2 linked regions of the Rhinolophus ferrumequinum genome follow. The protein of the gene in region 2 interacts with the protein of the main gene of each other region in a biochemical or structural test. Links are inferred from orthologs where the notes say so. Each region holds a gene or a part of one and is shown on either strand. Other genes may lie near its edges. The genes, in order: SERPINA5 and PLAU.

Region 1 (7,669 bases), on a different chromosome or scaffold from region 2:
GAGGCCTCAGAGAACTGAGTATAGAACTTGGGTTTTAGAGCCAGAATGCCCGAGTTCGAATGTGAACACCACCAGTTACTGAGTGTGTTAGTTTCTTAGGGCTGTCTTAACAATAACAAGCAGAAATTTATGTCTCACAGCTCTGGAGGCCGGAAGTCCAAGATCACGGAGTGGGCAGGACAGGTTCCTTCTGAGACGGGGAGGGACCCCCTGCCCCAGGCTCTCCCCCAGCTCCTGGTGTGGCTGGCAGTCTTCAGTGCTCCTCTGCCTTCCTCTCACATGGCGTTCTCCCAGAGTGTGTGTCTGTGTCCAGATTTCCCCTTTTATAAGGACAGCAGTCATACTGGATTAGGGCCCACCCTTCTCTACAACGGCCTCATCTTAACTAATTACATCAGCGGTGACCCCGTTTCCAAATAAAGTCACCTTCTGAGGCACTGAGGGTTAGAACTTCATTATGATGCCATGGGCTGCCGCTCTGTGCCTCAGTTCCCTCACCTATAAAATAGCGATAATCCCACCTAATGTATCACTACGGGGATGGTGCGCTTTGTTTTTCTTCATATCAGTGGAAAAATAAATCGATTATGACCCATCTGGTCCATTTAATATTCTGACCCCTGGCCCATCCCGTGCTCTCATCCCCATTGTGATGGACTGAATTGTGTCCCCCCAAAATTCATATGTTGAAGCCCAAACCCTAATGAGATTATATTTGGATACAGGGACTTTAGGGAAATAAATAAAGTTAAATGAGGTTATAAGGGTGGGGCCCTAATCCCATAGGACTGGTGTCCTTAGAAGAGGACGAGACCCCAGAGCTCGATCTCTCTCTCTCTCTCCCCCTCCCCCACCTCTTCCCGTGTGCACAAAAGGCCATATGAGGACACAGCAAGAAGAGTCCATCTATAGCCCAGGAAGACAGATCTCACCAGAAACCAACGCTGACATCACCTTAATCTTGGACTTCTAGCCTCTAGAACTATGAGAAATAAATTCCTCTGGCTAAGTCTGAAGAAAAGACTGAAGAGAGACATTATTGTCAAGCTGCCAAATTACCAAAATCAGGTAGATTGAGATATGAGGAACTGATTCTATTCTTTTTTTTTTTAACTAGCCTGGGAACTTAAAAACATCTGAACTTTCCAGTCCTGTATTCGTGCCTGGACATAGATCAGACCTCCAGATAACCCTCTGAAGACTCCCTAAAGGGCTAAGGAAAGAATGCTCAGTTATCAAGACCACCTGACATCCAGTACCCAGACCACCTGACATCTAGTACCAAGACCACCTGACATCTAGTACCCAGACCACCTGACATCCAGTATTCAGTCTGACTGACATCTAGTACCCAGACCACCTGACATCTAGTACCCAGACCACCTGACATCCAGTACCCAGACCACCTGACATCCAGTATTCAGTCTGACTGACATCTAGTACCCAGACCACCTGACATCCAGTACCCAGACCACCTGACATCTAGTACCCAGACCACCTGACATCCAGTATTCAGTCTGACTGACATCTAGTACCCAGACCACCTGACATCCAGTACCCAGACCACCTGACATCCAGTACCCAGACCACCTGACATCTAGTACCCAGACCACCTAACATCCAGTACCCAGAACACCTGACATCTAGTACCCAGACCACCTGACATCCAGTACCCAGACCACCTGACATCCAGTACCCAGACCACCTGACATCTAGTACCCAGACCACCTGACATCCAGTACCCAGACCACCTGACATCCAGTACCCAGACCACCTGACATCCAGTACCCAGACCACCTGACATCTAGTACCCAGACCACCTGACATCCAGTTCCCAGACCACTGGTCCTCTGGAGGATGACCATCTGGGACCAATCCAGAGGCTCATTGTGGAGGACAGATTCATCTCAAGAACATAATTTTTTCTATAAGAACTCTTAGCTTTTCTTTCTTCTTCAGAACACTCTGGATATTGCCTAGTTGTGTTCGTTTATAGTTTGCAAATCCTAAATCCCTTGAAAAATTATTTATCACTTATTTCTAGCCAAAGCCTCCAGACTCTTTGTGAGTTTGTTCAACAAGCCACCCAGTCTGTGGTAGTTTGTTATGGCAGCTCTAGCAGACTAAAGCACGAGGGCATCATGTTCTAAGAAGCCCTCAAACCTCTCCCTTCAAAATTTACCCATCCTCCACCCCCATTCCTTCAGAACCCTTTCTGAGTAGCAATGTGGAGTCAGGGGTTGCTACAGACATCCCCCCAAATTTGAGACATTCCTTAAAATGCAAGCTTGGAGACACGAATAGCACACACAGACTGGAGAAGCCTTTTAGTATCTTGGTTACTCCCATCTTCCCCAAGTATTTCAGCTGGGACATATTCTGGGCTATTGTTCTGGTTTCCTGTTGCTGCTGCAACAAATTATGATGAAGTTAGTGGCTTCAAACAACACAGATTTATTTTCTTACAGTTCTGGAGGCCACAAGTCAAAATAGGTCTCACAGAGCCACCATCAAGAAGTTGACAGGGCTTTCTTCAGGCATTCGTTGGCCATGGCTTCACATCACATTGTCTGTTCTCCTGTTTCCATGACCACATTGCTTCCTTCTGGCTCTGACCTCCCACCGCTCTCTTATAAGGATGCTTGTGATCACATTTAGGACCCACCTGAGTAATCTGTGATAATCCCCAAGATCTTAACTTAGTTATATCTGCAAAGTGCCTTTTGTCGTATAAAGTAGCATTCACAGGTTTCAGATATCAGGACATGGCCATCTTGGGGGTGGGGGCTAGTCTCCATTCTACCACAGGTGTGTAATAATGATTTCCATCCTATAGAACAGGGGTGTCCAAACTGCGGCCCACGGGCCAACTTTGGTCCGCAATCCATTGTTAATTGGCCCGCAGCAAATTCCAAAACTATATTTAGTTTACTTAAATAAACCAGGTGAGGCAATACGTACTTCACCTCGAGTGAGTGGCCCGGCTGTTTGTGTATTCTACCGCATATGGCCCTTGGTGAAAAATGTTGAAAAAAGTTTGGACACCCCTGGTATAGAACATAGTTTAGGAATCTCTACGTTATGAGATAAAGGATTCTTGCTTATGTCACATGGCACAATAGCAACAAAGCAAAACCTAGGCAGAAGGGACCCAGCTACCCCCTTGCTAGTGCCTTTCCTCATTAGCTGTGTGCTGATTACCTAGAGTGGTTGGGCTGATTACCTAACCACTCTCAGCTTCCACCTTCTCACTGACTTGGTGCGGATGCTAGTACCCACCTTCCAGGGCCTCGTGAACACAAAGCAGGCACTCAATACCTGGTAGGGACTGTGTTTGTTTCTAGACTGAGGCAGTGCTGAGGATCCCCTTTGTAGCATTGTTGTAAGCATTCAAAGAGAAAATGGGCCATAAACAGACCCTAAAATCATGGAGAAAGAAAGGGAACTGTCTCAGAGGTTGTAGAGAGACCCTGTGTTGCTGAGCATCAAGAGCCTTTCCCTTGGGAAATGCCTGGTCCTCTGTCTCCTCTGCCAACTGCACACCCCACTTGCACCCCCACAACCTTCTGGATCATGGCTACACACAGTGCACCCCAGTATTAGGAAGTCCCTAGGAATGAAGGGTTGAGTCGGCATCAGCATCGTGGAAATACTCTTGAAAGTGTGGGGCTGAGTTCAGGAGCTCCACTTTCAAGGTAGAAAAGGACAGTCGAGCTGACCCCACAGAGATCTTAGCCCTTTTTTAAGCAAAGAGCACTGACCTTGAAGTCGGAAGCTTGGACACTCAGCCCCACTCTATCCCTGCTTTGATGCAGGACTCTGAAAAATCCCTTCATCATTCTGAGCCTCAGTTCAGTTGCTGGCGCAAGAACGGGGGGTTGTTCCAATGATCCCTTCTTTTCAGTCATCGTGAGACTCTCTGGACCCCTCTAATTTCCACGAGAATCTGGCTGGTGGGTCCATGAACACAGTAAGCACGTAGGCCTGTGGGGAGCTTGAATTCATATGCCACTCCCCAGATCTACAGCAAATTGACTGCAGGAAACAAAGGTATCAGCCTGGCGAAAGGGCGGTCGGCCAGAGGGTGTCCCTTTCTCTGTGTCTGGAATGCTGGCAGCTGGTTGCCTGTCTAGCCTCTTCTCCCAGGAGTTCCTGTGCCACTGCAGGCAAATGGTGTCTGAAGCCACCACCTTAAATACCACCTTCAGCTAAAGACAAAACAAAATGTTGGGGTTGGGAGGGGGGTCAGTTATGGAACGGTGACCAGGAAAAGCACAGGAAACAGGGGTCAGGTCGTTGTGCAGGTTTCAGTCCAGGCCGTCTCCATCAGGCCTGGTACGTTCCAAGTGTAAATGTCCTTTCACAAAGGGGAACTTCTAAGTGGGTTTCAAGGCTTCTCCCCAGACTGCCATGTCTTAAAATTAACCAGCTTAGAATAATCAATATCCCCAAAGGGGCATATGTTAGGGTGGCCAACTCTGCTCCCCTTCAGGGGCTTGCAGGGCAGTGGGCGGGTGGCCCTGGTCAGAGCTCAGGTGGCTTTGCCCACAGCCTAATTGTTGGCTGGAAGCCGGCTACAACAGGACAGGGCAGGGCTGGCTGGGGCGGGGCCAGGGAGGGGTGGAGTCAGGTCCCTGCTGTGGTCAGTGGCAAAAGCTGGCTCCACTCTAGCCAGCCGGCTGCGCTTTCCAGAGCCCCACAGACCATTGTGCCTCCACTGTGTGCATACTGGGCCACGGGACAGAGTAAGTACAGGTACTGCCGACAGAGGACCTGTGGGTATGAGTGTGTGTGAGGAGGGCTGAGAAATGGACTCTGGAGTTATGGGGTTTGGAGGGCTTGAAAGCTTTGGAGGTGTCCCAGAGTGAGCCGGAAAAACTCCCCGCAGTGCTGAGGAAAGAGTCAGCCTCTGAGACGGCAGAGGTGACCTTGGGCACAGCAGGAAACCTAGCTAAGCCTCAGTTTCCTTATAGGTAAGATGCAACGTACTGCACCTCTGCAAGGTGTGACTGAAGATTAAGTAAGGTGATGGTTCTCACCCAGGCATGATTTTATCCCCACGGCACATCTGGCCGAGGCTGGAAAGATCTTGAGTTGTCACAACTGGAGGCGTCCAGTTGGCGTCCAGTGAGTAGAGACCAGAGAGGCTGCTAAACATCCTACAATGAGCAGGACAGTCCACTGCCACCCCCACGACAGGGAATGATGCAGCTCCAAATGCCAACAGTGCTGAGGCTGAGGAAGCTTAAGGAAGTGGGGACAAATATCTGGTACACGGGGTGCTCCGTAAAGCATTGCTTGCGTTGTTCTCTGTGCCTGGAATTGCTATCCTTTAGAGAGCAGGAGAAATGATCAACGATAATGTTTCCCTAAGATAAGGCCACCCCGTCTGGGGCCTGCCACCCAGTGTGCTCCTCGGCAGCTGCTCCAGCTCCAGAAGCTTTTTGGCCATTTGTTAAGTAAACAAAACAGAAATATAAAATGAGTGGAATTTTTAGTTTTTCTAAGGATGAGGCTCTTGGCAAGAAATGCAACAGTAAAGGGAAACTGCTCCCCTGGCCAATATCCTCCTTCACAGTCAAGACTAGGCAACACAGTGGAAGTTTGGCAGGTGATGGATGCGTTTATGGTGGTGATGGTTTCACGGATGTATACTTACCTCCAAACTCATCAGGTTGTACACATGAAATCCTACTTTAATGAAGTGGTATTTAAAAAGAAAAAGACAGGAAACTGCGTCTGAGCAGCAGGGGGAGTTATTCAAGGTCACCTGTCGAGTTAGCCCCAGGGCCGCTGGAGCTCAGCTCTGGAAGCCCCGCCTGGCTGTGTTTCTAACATGTGGTCCGACACCTCTGAATTACAGAGAATGAGACGGGTTCATTCACTCATTCATTCATTCATTCCACAAAGGTAGCGGAGCACCACCCCTTGACTGCAGGGAGGACAGATGAGGGGCCTTTCTATTGTGAACACGTATCCTAGTGGGTGAGACAAGTTGGAACAAAAGAGGCCAACAACAAATGCATATGTAATTGTGCTTATATAATTGACTGAAAGATAAAAGAAACAATGAAGGGGCCAGTGGAGAGGGAGGACCAAGCATGAAGAGGGTGTCAAGGGGAAAACTTTCCAGCATCAGCCTGAGGCCTGCAGGGATGCTAGCCCTGGTGAGAAAGGTGGAGAGAGGGTTCCAGCAGCATGTGCAAAGGCCCAGGGGCTTGCTGTGTTTGAGGCAATGAAAAAAGAAGTGCGCCCAGAGGACCCACACAACTGAGGGCAGAGCAGGTCAAGTTGAGGCTGGTGAGAGCTGGGCAGAGCCCGGCGGCATGGGGCTCCGTGCGTTGTTGCACAAATCAGAGTTAGATTTTACCCTGCAATGAATGGGCAGCAACAGTATTCTTAGGCAGCGGAGCACTGTGACTTTGTGAATGAAGGCGATTCTTTCAGATGCTTTGTAGAATGGCTCATGGGGACAGGAGAAGTGGGGCGATCCAGGTAAAAGATGGAAGGAGCTTCCATTAAGGTAGTGGCTGGAAAACTGGGGAGAAGCAGGCAGATTTAAGACACACTTTGGAGCTAGAAACTGACAAGCCTTGCTGATGGTCTGAAGATGGCGGGGTTAGGAAAGTTCCCTAGACCACAGCTCGCAGGAAGCTCTGCCCCTGGCTCTTTAGGTCCCAAGGGAAGTTGGGTTTTTGTCTCTCTGCCGGGGCTCCATCTTACATGTATTTTTGTAATTAGCAGATTGTGGACACACCCACCTCAGCCACACAACTCCGGCAGCTGAGTCCAAAATTGACCTGGATGGGAGTTTGTTATCTAGCATTTAAAATGAATGACAGCAGATTTGGGGTCCATGGATGTTAGGGGAGCAGTGGGAGGTCTGCCCAGGGCCTGCCCACCCCCAGCTGACTCAAGTCCCTTTGGCCTGGTGAGAAAGGTGGAGAGAGGGTTCCAGCAGAGAGCAGAATGTGCAAGGGCCCTGGGCTCAGCTGGGGCTTTCTGTGCTTGAGGCAGTGAAAAAGGAAGTGTGCCCAAAGGATGCACGCAACTGAGGGCACCGCTTGAGTGCTCCGCTCCCTTCCCTTTGACATGTGAGGGCATTTCTGCAGAAACACTGACTTTAGGGACCCAGGAGAGAGTCAGCCAAGTCAGGCTTTGCTTCAAATGGGAGGCCAACTGAGTGCCGCCTGTGCAGCTCAGCCAATAGACTGACACAGGAGTTGGCTATAAGAATGAGTGTTTATTATCAGAGCACCCGTGGTCTGAAGAGGCAGTGGGTTAACACATCCAAAAACTGCCTTAACATCCTCCGACTGGCTTGGGGTATCCAAGGGAAATCTGGACGTTAAGCTACGTGATGGGGGTTGGGGTGGGGGGTTCTGCTTGGAGCCTTCCCTCTGGCCAGGCGATTCTCTGGTGAGGTCAGCAACCCAGGAACAATGATGGGAGTATCCTGGAAAGAATACTAGACCATAGAGATTGTGGTCAATAAGCCTAAGGGTGTTAACGGTAAGTGTCAGGGTGATTTTATGAAACAGGGAACTGGGTGGGACAGGGGTCATTCTGAGCTCTACCATCAGGGGGATGTTCCGTTGTTAAGCTATAGGGAGGTCAAGGAAAGGTGAGGCCAGGGACACCCGAAAGGCATCTACTATGGGGGTGCCAA
Region 2 (7,914 bases):
CACGCTGCCTTCAATCAGTGCTTGGAGCAAAGAAGTACTTTCTGCAGGTGGGTAGGAAGTAGGAAGACAAAGAGACTGAGGGTGAGATTGAGGGTGGTCAGGAAGGGAGAAGCAAAGATTCAGAATAGGAGTAGAGAGGGTGGAAATGTGTCATGAAGTTCTGCAAAATCGGTGAATTCTGAATCTCATCATTTTCAGTGAATGAACTCAGATGATTCACTTCCCTTTATTAGCCCTCTATTTTCCTCTCTGTGTAATAGAAAGGGAAGTGCTTGCACTTATTTTAAAGACCGAGAAGCACACAGAGTTTAGCTGGGGAAAGCCATGAACACATGAAATTATACATCATATGGGCTATGGATGTTATGTTGGTTTTCTTCTGAACAAATTTTTGAGAATACTGGCTCCTGGCTGAATGTATTTCCTTAAACGTCCTTGATTTCTTGGCAGTTTTCAGGAAACCCACCAGTTTCTGGTTTCCCATTCTAGCCTTTTGTTCCTGGGTATCTATCCCCTTTAGCTTCCAGTGACATCCAACATAATAGCCTGGGATCTAAGCAGAATTTCAAGAGCCTGGGCCTAGCTTTGGTTCCTGGTGGGACTCAGAATCCAGACGGTCTGGAACATCATGACCAACACTCCTTTCAGGTAGTGAGTTCTTGATTTATTAAGTAACTGGGTTTACGCTAAGGATAAGGAAAAATTTGGCCAAGCCTCAAAATATTCATTCAGAGGTCTGAGCTGACTGGCCTGGGTGGGGCTAGGAATTGGGTCAGAGATGGTGAGGCAGGAAAGGGTGAGAAAGGGTGGGTCAGGGGGCATAGGCTAAAGCTGTAGGGACCAACTCGGCCCCTCCGTTCATGATGTTATTGATGACAGAGTATAACTTCACGGTGCAGCCCCTGGGCTCTTTGCTTCCCATGAGTAAGGAAGCAGGTATGTGGCTTCCCCCACCCCACTCTTTCCACTGGCCACTGGGGGCCTAGCAGCTCCCCTATCATGTTACAGGCGGAAGACGGGGCTTTCAGTGCCTTCTGTGACAACAGCATCTTCCCCCTCAGCACTAAACACGTAGAGAAGGAGTCCTCAGACCTAAGGAAGCTCTGTGACCAGCATTCAGCGCCTCTTTCCCAGAACCGCAGAGGAGTCTGCCTTTCCCTTGTGCAGGAAGAAAGAGAAGAGTTTCTGGCCGCAGACACGGGAGAGGAGAGGGAGGGAGTAGGAATCCGGTCTGTGGGGTTGAGCTGCACATGCAGCTGGCGAGTTGCTGGGAACAGTTTACTAAGGACACAGCATCTCCACTTAACTTGAATCCTGGAATGGTACTCCAGAGAATGCACTGGTTTTCTGGGCCAGTATAGCCGTAATCAGGAAGGCAAGGCGTACACTGAGAGTAGGAATTATAGTTTATAAAGTTCATCCTTCCATCTCCAGCATCTAGAACTGTGCCTGGCACATCGTAGGCCCATGATAAGTATTGAATGAGTGAAAGAATAACGGAATGAAGGAACGCTTTCACCACACAAGCATGATCTCATTCGATCTGCAAAGTGAGGCACAGGTGGAGTAGGCTTTGCCTCATTTTGCAGATGGGGAACTGAGCTCAAGAGAATAAGTGTCTTGTCTGAGATCATTCAATTTGGACGTGACAGATCCAGAGCTATATACTGCACTCTCTCTATGGTACCACGCTGAACAGTCTTGGTACAGCAACTCAGCAACAAATCCGGTGACTGGACATTAACTTCCCTTTGGGTCATGCTGGCCAGAAAACAGCCCTTCAGGAGTCCAGTTTCCTGGACACAGTCTCGGCCAAATTCAGACCTCCTGGTCCTCCTTGCACACCTGGCATCTGCCTGTTCTTTAATGAGCAGCTCCAGGAAAGGGTGTCCCTCTCTTAGTCTCTGTTGCCACATCTGACGCAGGAGATCTGGATCCCTGAGGCACAGAGGCACGGGGCTGGTGGCTTTAGTCTGGGAGTCCAAACAGAATGAAATCACATATATTCAGTTCCTTATTCTCTCACTCTTGGTAGAAACTTCAGATAGCCTAAACCATCAAGTTAGTTCCTGGAACTCAGGCAAACAACTAACTCATGTAACAGCGAGGGCTTTCCAGGAGCTCAGAGCTCATAGCCTGAGGAGTGATTCTGGAAGGAGCTCTCCAAGGCCAGCGGGAGGTCTCCTCTGAATTTCAACATCTTATATCATCTGGAGCTTCTCTTCGCAGAATTCTGTGTTGTACCCCTCTCTTATGGAGGCGCTGAGGTATAGAGCACAGGAACGAGGATCAGAAAACCTGGGTCCTCGTGCTGGCTTTCCCACTCATCAACTATGTATCTTCTCTCCACCTCATTTTCCTCATCTGCAAAATGGGAAGAATGATCCCTAACATCATAAGGCAGTTATGAGTTTAAAGAGGAATGATTTGTGTCAAAGTGCTTTTCAGCACAAGACAGAAACGATGCCAGTACCATTTTTTATGGCAAGGAGAGGAAAAAAAAAAGATAGAGGACGGAAACTTCCAGCGTGCCCCAAAGCTCTCTGTTCCCACTTGTTCACTGATTCATTCATAATAAAGCACCTATGTGAGCAAGGGATGCACAAGTGCTGAGGGAGAGACAAAGATATTTAAGATGTAGTCTCTGCCCTCAAAGAATTGAAAGATGAGCAGAGACTGTGCACCAAAGGATGGACGGAGATTTCAGAGTGTGGGAAAGATCATAGTGGGGAGGAAGTTCTGTGACCGGTTGGAGGCTCTAGGATTGTTCAACCAGGTGACGAGGCCACAGGAGGAAGGAGGGGGGGAGGGGTGTCACACTCCATAACGGTCTCTTGGAGCCTCTTTGTTGGGGAGGAAATGAGGTCATCCTTCTCTCAAAAATCTGCATGACAGACTCCAAGTAATCTGGAGTCATGAGAGCTGCTGGGGAGCTCTGTGAATCATGGCAGACTGCTGGGAATTTCCTGATAACTAACCTAGGAGTTTCGGGGTAAGTCCTTAGGCTGCAACACCTCTGTTTACATTTTGGTCACGTTTATTTACAGTTAATGAGTTCTAAATCCAAACAAAACATGCCCAAGGCTGGTACTGAGACTTACAGAACCTCTGACTTAGTCAATCTGCTTGGTGGATGGCAGCTCAGCCAGGCACAAACTGTCTCTGGAGGATAATGGGTCATCTGCCTCCCCAAAGCTGGATGGTTAACTTGCACTTTCCCCAGGCAGAGGCTGGCATCCTCAGTCCTCTGACTGGAGCAGAGCAAAGAGGCTTTCCTCTTTCCTACCCTCCTGGCTCTCTCCTTGCCCTCCTCCTGCCCCTCCCAAGTGGATGCAGACCCAAAGTCCAGGTTTGCCAGGCTTCAAGATGCTATAGGCTTAGGTAGGGAGAGGGATCAAGCCTTGGGCCCCTAGTGAGTTGTAGGGACTCAGCCCCCACCCCTCCCATCAAGGGGGAGAATCCTGCTGGGTGGAATCTATGCCTGAGGGATATGTTCCAGTGCATATGCCCGAGTACAACTGTGTGCACTCACCCTGAGGCGGGAAGAGCAGGTTGAGTCATTTACACTTACACCGGGGTCTGTGTTTCTGGAGGCCAATCTTATTTGATAAGCAATTATTTTATCTTATTAGAAACAAGGCCCTGTGATGAAGTAGCACACTAAATACACGTACATTGGAAAATCTGTAATTATCTTTTTGGAATGGATGATGCAAAGATGTGTTTTTAAAATTTTAAACAGTGTGAAATAAATCTTCTCATTCTTGTCCTCCAGTTCCCCAGTTCCTCTCCTCAGAGGTCATAAAAAACGGACTACATTAATAAGGCTTTACTAGTCATTGTCTTTATTAACTAACTATACTCTAACCAATCCCCCCCGCAGATAAACATGTTGTTCACTAAAGGAACTTCCTGAAAGACCCATCAACACTTCAATAAAAAGCATCAACCGTGTGTGCCCTAAGACTGTGTTTGCACAGTCCTACAATATTGTGTCATGACCCTTATTCAATCCTTACCAAACCCTCACTTTCAAAGACCACCCTTAAACCAAACTCCAAATTCTCGATAAAATCCAACCTTGCCTTCCCTCCTGCCCCATATACTACTAAACTCCCCTAAGGTGGTAAGCAATCATCTCAGCTTTGTCTTATCCACTTGTTGGGTTGATAATTTTTAGGGAGCGGGCATTCGACAGAAGCAGCCCCCTCCCCGTTAGCAGGTTTTTTTTTGGTCTGTTTTCAGCGAGCGTGTGTCACGCGGATTTTCCCATTGAGAAAAAGACTTCACAGCTGTATGAGCTGCGGACCATGTCCCTGCACCCAGGTTTCTCATTCATTCTCCCAGGCAGTTGTGGGAGGAGGGTTGAAAGGATGGAGAAGAGCTGATTTAGGGGATCTGGGGGAGGCATCAGAGCTGGACCAGGGAGAGAGTGCCGGGCGCCTCTCCACTCCGCACTTGGGTGGGTGAGTGGGTGGGCTGCATTGGAGCCCAGGCCCGGTGAATGGGAGGAGTGGCGGGGAATCTAGTTGTCTCCCTTAATCTCTCAGTTCGTTCCCTCCGCTGGGGACCGTGCAGCTCCTCGTCCTCAGTCTAGCTGAGGAACCACGCAGGGTCGGGGTCGCAGCCGGCTCCAGGGAAGGGGAGGGCAAGGGAGTGGACTGGGCGATCCCGGGGCGGGGCCAGGGCGTGGGCGGTTCTTAATAAACAGCCCGCGAGCCGGGCTAGCAGCACAGTGCAGAGACTGGAGCCCCAGAACCTCGCCGAGAGTCAGCGTTGTCAACCTGTCCCCGGTGTCCCGGCCACGCGCCCCTCCCGCCGCAGCCGCCGGTGAGTGCAGGCCGCCCTAAGAGCGCTGGGCGGAGGAGCGGCGGCTCGCGCTCTCGCAGACTTCCCTTCCCCCTACCCGGCTGCTCCAGCAGTGCAGCGGCTGCGCGCCGAGTCGCCTCTCCGCGTGTCCTTGCGTCCCCGTGGGGGTGCCGGTCCAGGCTGTCCCGGGACCCCTGAACCCCCAGAGAGGAGAGACGACCGCGGGCTCGCCCTTCAGGTGACCTGGTAGCTCCTGCCCTGAACTGCAGTAACCCACCCGGCCCGCCTTCTTGCTCCTCTGCTTCTTCCCCTGACTTCTCTTTCCCTTGCAGAACCGCTGTCTAGAGCCCCAGCCTCTCCACCATGACACTCCTACTGGTGTGCCTGTTCCTTTGTGCCCAGGTCGTGAGCAACTCTGAAGTGAGTGGCTTCTCTGCTTTGACTTATGGAGGCTGGAGGGGGCTTGCAGGACCCCTGAACAGCGCCTGGGAAAGGAGGGGGCAGCATAAGAAGCTGGGGTTCCCTGGATTCCATCAACAGCAGGGCCAGACCCCTCTGGGGGAATAGGACAGGTGTGGCAGTGGGGGCCTTGAGAACCAAGGGAGTTAACACTTGGCAGCAAGGGAGGAAGAAGCTGCTGGGACTGCCCCAGCCTGCTGGCATCTGATACGTGAGGCTTGCTTGAGTCAATCCATTTCTCCTTGCTGGAAATCTATGATCTTCCATTGAGGGCTAGTTAGATGTGAACAGGATGGGGAAGAGAGAGAGAGCTGGAGGAAAGATGAGTTTGGGGATTGGGGCCAGTTTATCCTCACCCTGGAGTCCCAGGAGCAAGGTACCCTTGGTAAACTTTCCCTCTACCTCCATCTTTTCCAGGGCAGCCAGGACCTTCAACGAGTATCTGGTACATGTGAGTATCCACCCCTTGCACAATATCTGGCTGCACAAATATCTTGGAAAAGCCTCAGGAGACAGCCCATCCCTGTCCCTGATGCAGGGCTGGCTCTACCCTTGCCTCCTCCCACTCTCCTTGCTTACCCGCCCCCCCTCCTTTGTGTTTTTCAGTGAACTGTGGCTGTCTGAATGGAGGAACATGTGTGTCCTACAAGTACTTCTCTAACATTCAGCGATGCAACTGCCCAAAGAAATTCCAAGGGGAGCATTGTGAGATAGGTATGGAGATCCTGCCTTTAACTGGGAGGGGGTTGCACCAGAGATTTGGGGGCGAGGAGAGATGAGTGGGATGCCAGAGCAGGCAGGAGTTAAGAGCTGAAGGTGGAGTGGGGGACCTTTTCATCCCCATGTGATATACATAGTCAAGCCTAAACACACATTGTCTCGAGAAGCTGTGGCTGCACAAATGTGAGGTGGGATGGAAGGAGACCCTTTCTAGTGTTTTCTGCAAGACCTGAAATTATGTGAGGTTTGGTAGGATCTCTGAAATGCCTGTCTGAACTTCCTCCTCTTTCTGACATTCTCTCATCCTCATACCCTTCCGTAGATACATCGAATACCTGCTATCAGGGGAATGGTCAATCTTACCGAGGGAAGGCCAACACCGACTATAAGTCCCGGCCCTGCCTGGCCTGGAACTCTGCCAATGTCCTTCTGAAACCGTACCATGCCCAAAGACCTGATGCCCTTCAGCTGGGCCTGGGGAAACACAATTACTGCAGGTGAGGTGGGGGCAGCAAGGACCTTCCCCATGACTTCACAGAAGCCCTTATTACCATTCCCTTCTACTTCCAGAGTGCTGGCCATAGCATGAGAAAAGCAAGGCCTCTGGTTGGGTCTTCCTTGGAGGGGAGGATGCAGGAAGGATGCAGGGGAGAATGTCATTCTGTGTTGAAAAAACACCCCCACCCCTCCCCTCTGTTGCCAGGAACCCAAACAACCACAGAATGCCCTGGTGCTATGTGCAGGTTGGCCTAAAGCAGTTCGCCCAAGAGTGCATGTTGCCCGACTGCTCTTATGGTGAGTATCACAGACCTGGTTATGATGGTGAGGTGGGAGGGGACAAACTCATGTCCCCTTATTCCATCACAGGAGCGGTGAGGAGGGAGGCCAGTCTGGCCTCCAAAAACTGGGAGGTCGGAGGATGAGGAGAGGGACACTTTATCCTACCTGCCTCCCTAAGACATTCCTTTCTTTCTCCTCCAGGGAGAAGTCCCTTTTCCCCTGAAAAAGCAGAGTTTCAGTGTGGCCAGAAGGCTTTGAGGCCCCGCTTTAAGATTGTCGGGGGAGAAACCACCTCCATTGAGAACCAGCCTTGGTTTGCAGCCATCTATAGGAGGCACCGTGGAGGCTCTGTCACCTATGTGTGCGGTGGCAGCCTCATCAGTCCTTGCTGGGTGCTCAGTGCCACACACTGCTTCATGTACGTCCCTCTGTCTCTTCTTCCTCACCTTCCCGCCCTACTGCATATTCCCTTTCTCCGTCCCAGCAAAGGATTCCACTTCAATTCTCCCCTCTTAGCCCCTCTCCGTGTGGCCCATGACCTTGGAGACAAGTCATGCTCTGAGGTCACTGCGGTGGGGAGGGGGAAGTGACAGGATCTCATGAGATCAGACTGTCTGACAGGTCTCCCCTCCCACAGTAATTACCAAAAGAAGGAGGACTACATTGTCTACCTGGGTCGGTCAAATCTTAACTCCGCTACACCTGGGGAGATGAGGTTTAGGGTGGAAAAGCTCATCTTGCACGAGGACTACAGTGCTGACACACTTGCTCACCACAACGATATTGGTAAGTGGAAAACCTTCACCTTCCGTCATGATGATGGCTGGGGAAAGGGGCTCAAGACGAGAAGTGGGAGGTTGAGGTTGTATTGGAACTTGAAAAGACTATTTTACAAAGGGAGAGGTGGGGAAGGGTTCAGAATAACATATATGAGGAGCCTGTGCTCCTCTGTAGAGTCCCTGAATTTCCAACAGGTCGCTTCCTCCGGTGGCAGTGGCCCTATGGACAGATGGCTTGGGCTGGGATCCCCCTTCCTTTGTTGGAGGCAGACTTTGTCCCCAGACATAGAACTTGGAGAGAGCATTGGGCTGGATTTCAGCCTAGCTACCTCAGCCAGGGCTTTTGCAGAAAAAACCAATACAGCTG

The links.
Region 1: the proteins of PLAU (region 2) and SERPINA5 form a complex in vitro, tested with the Homo sapiens proteins (2 studies listed by BioGRID). The link is inferred for Rhinolophus ferrumequinum from reciprocal best matches to the Homo sapiens genes PLAU and SERPINA5.

Annotation. Positions count from the first base shown.
Region 1 is NC_046289.1:8,631,012-8,638,680, reverse strand, and holds the start of SERPINA5 (plasma serine protease inhibitor), read left to right. Parts: upstream 1-4,626; 5' UTR 4,627-4,745; exon of another isoform or gene 4,746-4,755; intron 4,756-7,669. UniProt on the Homo sapiens protein: Heparin-dependent serine protease inhibitor acting in body fluids and secretions. Inactivates serine proteases by binding irreversibly to their serine activation site. Involved in the regulation of intravascular and extravascular proteolytic activities.
Region 2 is NC_046299.1:51,259,673-51,267,586, forward strand, and holds the start of PLAU (urokinase-type plasminogen activator), read left to right. Parts: upstream 1-4,693; 5' UTR 4,694-4,830; intron 4,831-5,141; 5' UTR 5,142-5,172; coding exon 5,173-5,229; intron 5,230-5,685; coding exon 5,686-5,719; intron 5,720-5,874; coding exon 5,875-5,982; intron 5,983-6,310; coding exon 6,311-6,485; intron 6,486-6,691; coding exon 6,692-6,783; intron 6,784-6,969; coding exon 6,970-7,186; intron 7,187-7,405; coding exon 7,406-7,554; intron 7,555-7,914. UniProt on the Homo sapiens protein: Specifically cleaves the zymogen plasminogen to form the active enzyme plasmin.